Regions from separate parts of the Mus musculus genome. Here region 2 is reported to be linked to region 1. Evidence: microRNA targets listed by miRTarBase, many of them from high-throughput screens and not tested one by one. Region 1 holds a microRNA gene; the other region holds the end of a gene's coding sequence.

Evidence for each region. The annotated mature microRNA mmu-miR-669h-3p reads UAUGCAUAUACACACAUGCACA and lies in region 1 at 1,815-1,836, shown strand. An mRNA with a match to its seed (bases 2 to 7 or 8) in the 3' UTR can be bound and repressed. Matches are read on the target gene's strand: a 7mer-m8 pairs with bases 2 to 8, a 7mer-A1 pairs with bases 2 to 7 and ends in A, and an 8mer does both.
Region 2: miRTarBase lists Golga7b as a target of mmu-miR-669h-3p. Seed matches in the 3' UTR shown: 7mer-m8 at 1,720-1,726.

What each region holds. Positions count from the first base shown.
Region 1 is chr2:10,516,405-10,519,815 of GRCm38, forward strand. Mir669h (microRNA 669h) reads left to right here and starts at 1,751; the gene lies at 1,751-1,875. All of the region lies in intron 10 of Sfmbt2 (Scm-like with four mbt domains 2), which reads left to right. It overlaps Mir297a-4 (microRNA 297a-4), which reads left to right and starts at 663; the gene lies at 663-760. It overlaps Mir669i (microRNA 669i), which reads left to right and starts at 1,200; the gene lies at 1,200-1,326.
Region 2 is chr19:42,267,722-42,271,132 of GRCm38, forward strand. It overlaps Golga7b (golgi autoantigen, golgin subfamily a, 7B), which reads left to right. Exons shown (of 5, transcript NM_027694.2): 5 at 631-2,627. The coding sequence ends at 741. Among named protein-coding and RNA genes, the nearest start is that of Gm34347, 7.6 kb to the right of the region's middle.

The sequences.
Region 1 (3,411 bases):
TATAGTTGTGTGTGCATGTGTGTATATGAATATATATAACATCCACACATGTATAAATGCAAGCACAGAAACACACAAACATAGGAATGGTACTCATCGATCCATTTGAATGATATATGACTTAGAGTTTTAGAGATTATGCAGTAGAGGGACAGTGAATGGTCTCAATCACCAGGTGTAAATGATTGACAAAGTCAGGAGGATCAGGAGTTCAAACTCCATTTAGAGATCATCCTGGTATTCATTTGATGCCACCCATGTATGTGCACGTGTGCTTACATGTGTGTGCATGTTCATGAATGTATATGGATATGCATGTGCAGACACACACACACATGCAACACACACACAAACACATGGTGACTTGCATTCATCTACTTGCATAATATGTGACTAAGAGTTTTAAAGATTATGCAGTACTGTGCCCGTGCATGCTCTTACTCAACAGGTCAAAGTGCTTGCCAGAGTCAGGCCTTAAAGGTATGTGACTTAGAGTTTGAGAGATTATGCAGGGCTGGATCAGTGGGTGCTCTCACTCACAAGGTGAAAATGCTTGCCAGAGTCAGGAGGATCAGGAGTGGAAATTCATTCTCAAATTCATGATTAGGTAGGGATCAGCTTCAGATTCATGTGATGGCGCCCCCCCCCCCCAGTGTATGTGCCTGTGTGTATATGTATGTGTGCATGTGCATGTGTGTATATGAGTATACATATACATACACACATACCCATACAAGCATGCACACAAATACACGCAAAATCGCCACTCATGGATCCATTTGAATGATATGTGACTTAGTCTTAGAGGTTCTGTATGACTGGGCCAGTGCGTGATCTCACTCACCGGGTGAATAATCCTTCCAGAGTCAGGAGGATCAGGAATTCGAATTCATGCTTAACTTCATAATGAGTTAGAGATCAGATGCGATTCGTGTGATGCCCACCAAAAATGTGCATGGGTGTATAGTTGTGTGCATATTCATTTCTCTATATGAATATGCATATACACGCAAGCACACACAGGAATGGCACTCATATATCCTTTTGAATGGTATGTGACTTAGAGCTTTAGAGTTTATCCAGTAACGGACCAGAGCTATGTCTCAGTTAGGAGGTGAGTATTCTTGCCAGAGTCAGGAGGATCAGGAGGTCTAATTTATGTTTAACTTCCTGATGAGTTAGAGATCATCCTGGCATTCATGTGATGCCCACCAATAATGTGCATGTGTGTATAGTTGTGTGCATATTCATTTCTCTATATGACTATGCATATACACACATGCATACAAACTCACATACAGGAATGACAGTCATATATCCTTTTGAATGATATGTGACTCAGAGCTTTAGAGCTTATGCAGTACTGGGCCAGAGCTATGCCTCAGTTAGGAGGTGGATACTCTTTCCAGAGTCAGGAGGATACGGAGTTCAAATTCATGTTTAACTTCATGATGAGTTAGAGATCAGCCTGGAATTCATTTGATTGTCCTTGTGTATGTGTATATATGTGTAGGTAAGTGTGCTTGTACATGCATGTATATGAACATACACACACACATACATATACACATAAGAATGGCAGTCATAGATCTGTTTGATTTATATGTGCTTAGAGTTTTATAGAGTGTATAATTATGGGTCAGTGTTACATCTAACTCACCAGGTGAAAACCACTTGCCAGAGTTAGAAGGATCAGGAATTTAAATTCATGCTTAACTTCCTGATAAGTTTGTGATCATCCTGGCATTCATGTGATGCCCACCAAAAATATGCATGGGTGTATAGTTGAGTGCATATTCATTTCTCTATATGAATATGCATATACACACATGCACACACACACACACTCACACACAGGAATGACACTCGTTTATCCTTTTGAATGGTATGTGACTCAGAGCTTTAGAGCTTATGCAGTACTGGGCCAGAGCTATGTCTCAGTTAGGAGGTGAATACTCTTGCCAGCGTCAGGAGGTCCTGGAGTTCAAATTCATGTTTCACTTCATGATGAGTTAGAGATCAGCATGCGATTCATGTGATGCCCTCCCCCATGTATGTGCATGGGTTCATACTTATGTGTGCATGTAAATGTATGTATATGAATGTTCACATACATATACATAAACACACACACTGGCATTCACCTACACGCACATTAGTGGCTCTGATCGATCTATTTGAATGAGATGTGACTCAGAGCTTTAGAGCTTATGCAGAACGGATCCAGGGCTAGTTCTCCCTCCAGGTGAAAATGGCTTCTGTGGAAACCTGACAGCCTGAGTTGGATCTCTGGAACTCAGCACACAGGCAGGCTATGGTGTGATTCTTTTGGTTTTTCGTACACCTGATGATTTTCTTTGAGTTTTCAGATTGCAATATATCTTAATTTAAAATTTATCGTTCATCTGGCTCGGGAGACTGGAATACCTCCCTCATTAATAGCTGTCTTCTCTTTCATTCTCTATGAAAAAGGTCACTTTTAATTGAATGGGGTTAAGAGGTAAAGCTGGGTTGCTCTTAATATTGAAAACATTTCTGGTCGTTAAAAACTAAGAATCCTTTTGCTTATTTAATAATTCTTTAAGAATTTTTTTAAAGTGTTGTTTTTCCCTGTCAACACTTGATATTTATATGATATTAGAGTCTATTTTTGGTGATATCTTTGTCTCCTAACATAATTCAAACTAGAATGCTGTGCTTGCTTTTACACAGAGAAGTGCTTTAATTGTTGTACGAAATGTGTCCCAGCCTAATTCTTTTTCTGTAAGAAGCAGCGTTGTGGCTAGTGTTCAGGTCAAATGGACTCTCTGGTTCCTCTGCCCTTGCCTAAGGTTCTGTTGTTTTTCTGCAGTATTCCCTGATCGTAAATAAGAAGAACTCATGGGAATGCATGAATGCCTACTGTTTTAAATGACCTTGGAGCACCCTGAGACATAGGCGAATATTGCACTTCTTCTCACTGCTTTCGTTGGTTTTCCGTTGATTTTTGGGTCTAAAATACCAGCGCCTGGTCCCGTGTTAGGACACCAAAGCAGAGCCCACTTTGCAAGTGTTTTCTCGTCCATTATGGCCGTACTATTAGAAATCTGTTCTCAAGGCTCATTCCTGCTCCGCCATTCTTGCCATCCTTGTTGCTGATGTCTGAACTCACAGCTGAGGGTTTGGACTCAGTGTTTCTTTTCTAGTGGGACCCACTTCTTCTCTCTCCTGAAGAGCTGTGTCTCTTTCCTAGGTTCTGTGATGGTGATGTCTTTGTTTTCTTTTTCTCTTCCTTCCCTTCCCCTCATTTCCTCTCCTCTCCCTCCTTTCCCTTCCCCTCCTCTCTCTTCTCTTGTCCCTTCCTTCCCCTGTTCTCCCTTTCCCTCTTGTCCCCTCCCCTCCCCTGTGTTTCCTTCCCCTCTCCTCCCATCC
Region 2 (3,411 bases), not on the chromosome of region 1:
GCAGGATGGGGTTGCTGTATGGGTTGGCTGTCTTGGTGACAGGCCGGGCAGGGGGTGGATGGGTTCTGCCGACCCCACTTGGAACAGTAGTTCAGGTGAATAGCTCCCCGTGCAGTAGTTAAAATAATATATTTTACAATAAAGCTGAGAGAAGAGTTCAGAAAACATAGTCCCCAGAAACACACATATTTCCCCCGATTCTTTTTTTCCTGAGTTCTTGTGTTGTGTTCAGTACTCAGGTACTCCATTTAATTTTCACAGGAACCTCAAGGCGCTGTTAGTGTCCCCACTTTGCAGATGTAATAATTGACTGTTAGCAGGTGAAGGGACTGGCCTGGCCTGGCCTAACTGGAGTGGGCCATTAGGGATATGGAAAGGGAAGTGTTTGTATCTAACACCATTTCCCAGTGCATCTCGAAGAAAGCCAGAATCTGTCCATGGGATCCCGTTGTGCACTCAGCCCTCTGTCCTCTCAGAAACTGTTAGCTGAGGCTTGGAGAAGGGTTTGGATTTTAGTCAGGCCTCTGGTCTTTGGGAATAGAGTGCTTCAGGTCACAGGCTCGTTCTGGGTCTGTACTCCGTTCTTTGGTTAGCAGCCGGGTGCTCGAAGCTCCTTAACTATCGTCCCAGATCGAGATCTCCATCTATGAGGACCGGTGCAGCAGTGGTAGTTCCAGTAGCGGCAGCAGCAGCGGCAGCGGCAGCAGCAGCGCTGGCGGGGGAGGGGCGGGGGCCCGGTGACTGGCCGAGAGTCCCTGTAGGGAGGTGTACAGCCGGAGCGAGGGGCTGGCAGATCTACGGAGGCTGCGCTACCAGAGCACCCGCTTCTGAGTCTTTCTCTGGGCCCACCCTGCCATGTGGTGCGGAAGGGAGGGTGCCTGCCCGCTGTTCCCTGTCCCCAGACCTTTGCTCCTTGGCAGGATCTTCTTCTTTCTGACCCTGGACCTTTTTTTTTTTTTTTTTTTTTCTCCCATGAGGCTGATCTGAGTCATCAGACCCAGACCGTCCTAGGATGTCTGGGGTGGGGGTGGGGGACCCAGCTTGGACAAACCCTATCTTTCCTGCCTCCTTCCTCACTCTAAGGAGGGCCTGGAGAATTCCCACCCTGCATGATACTTCACCCTCAAAGACTCTTTCTAAGGCCCAACGCTACTATGGGCTCCTGCTTGTCAGTGGTCCCATCTCTTCACTGGAGATCTGGGGAGATGGGTGCCCTGGGAGCTATTCAGCCGCTCCAAAGGCAGTGACTTTCCTGTCCTCAGAGCCGAAAGTTCTCTCAGCCTTGCCAAGAAGCACCCAACTCTGAGACTTTGCACCCCACCAGGAACTGATTTTAGGGGTTCAGCCTAGGACTCTGATGGGCTCCACTGGGGTATGGGAAAACTTTGGACGAATGAAGCTGGACAGAGCTTGAACTCCTGAACTGGATCCAATTCCTGCATCGTGTGCATACATGTGGAGTGCACTGTGTGCGCAAATGTATGTATGTATTTGTATGGGTGGCTAAGCATGTACACATGTGAGCAAACAAGGGTATGAATATGAGTGCCTGTATATGTATGACTGCACAAGTCAATGTGTGTATGTGCACATGTGCGTGAACCTATGTTTATCTGAGTGAATGAGGGAGAAGGTAAGTGCATGTGTGCAACACGTGCATGCAAATTATGTATGCGTGTGCACAAGTGTATTGCGTGAGTATACATGTCTATGTGTAAGTATGCATGTGTTTGTGTGTGTGTGTGGGGAGAGAGAGAGAGAGAGAGAGAGAGAGAGAGAGAGAGATTCGGTTGTGTCGTTGTGTGTTCTCTTTGGCTGCTGGGCTAATGACTACTGAGTCCTGCCCCATCCTGTCTCACATTGGTCTGCAGAGCCTCTCTGTGAGTCCCTCCTGGCCCTCTGTAAGTCAATGTTCTAAAGCTGGGCTGTCAGCTTGGCTCTTCCTCTTGGCCTTTCTCCCACCTCTGGCTCTATTGTACACATTCTGATGGAGGGATTGTTGGGCTCCCAGGAGAACCAAGCCAGCGTTTAGGTGGTCTTTGGTGCCCCTCTCCCAGCCCCCATGGCACAGTGGGGCCACAGATGCTGCATATTCAGCCTGCCCAGGTGTCAGGACCCTGAGGCCCTTGTAGATGAAGCTTCCCCGGACATTCAAGGCAAATGTGCCTTGCGAGGAAAAGCGAATGGAGCCATGGCTCCCTAGGGGAGCTAAGTTGAAGGTGATGCATCCTGGGGCCTTAAGATGGACAGAAAGGGGCTGCCTACCTCAGCGGGCAGGAGGTGCTAGAACTAGACAGGAATCACCAGCCACTATCAGCAGCTTCCTGGAGCTGAAAGGGCCTGTCTCTCTACAGCAGGAGACTGTGCTGCGGATGGAGAGGGCTGGCCAAGCCCCTGACGCCTCAGGGTGCCCGAGCCCCATGAGCCCTGGTGCAATGAACCCCTTCTTTCCGAGCTGCAGCCCCCGATCCCCTGCAGAAGCCTGTGCCCTCTGTAGCCTGCTGTGCAGCCAGGCGTCCTGTCTGACTTTGCACAGCCTGTTGGGAAGGTTGGGAAGAGGCAAAATGGAGGGAGACCTTTTGTTTTATTCTGTTCCCAATAAAAGGACTTGCCAGCTTGAGGCTCCATGCTGTTTCCACCAGGCCATCCAAGGAGACACTGGGTGTGGGTGTGAGGAAGCAGCAGATGGCATGCAGGACTGATACACTGTGCCCTTGGAGTGTATGGGACAGTGAAGAGGGGGAACTGTCCAGGTCCCTCTACCAGCCCTTAACCTTTGGTAGATTTGCAACTTCGGGTGGAGCCAGTAGGGTCAAATAAAAGCTAAGCCAAGAGTAATTTATCATTGAGATAGGGAGGGCCTGTTACTTGAGTTCTTACCCTAGGTCAGGCACTGTCTGGGGTTGAGTCACACAGGTGGGCGGTTCAGTGTGGAGGACTAGAAGGGGCTGGCAAGGAGACTCAGCCAGTGAAATGCTCGCCACATAAGCCTAGTGACCCGAGTTTGGGCTCTGGAACCCAGGTAAAGACGGACAAAGAGAACTGACTCCTTAAAATTGTCCTCTGATCTCCATACACGTGCATCACAGAATGGTACCCCCCCCACCCCGTGTGACTACATTAAAATTTTAAAAATATTAGAAAGCAGGAAGATATTGGAAACTAGCATAGCCTATAGCTGGAGTTTCACCAGATTAAGCATTTATTAATCACCTATGATATACCAGACACTTCGATAAAACCGTATTCTGGGGATGAGGAGGGATTTGAAGATTAGCTGAGTCTTCTCAAAAGGTCCAGAGAGGTTGAATAACATGCACCACCATAGAGCCTGTGGAGTTAAAATGGATTTACTCCCAGGTAGAAAGTTGTCCGAGGTTTTGGCGGGCTGGGCCATGTACACAGATCTGT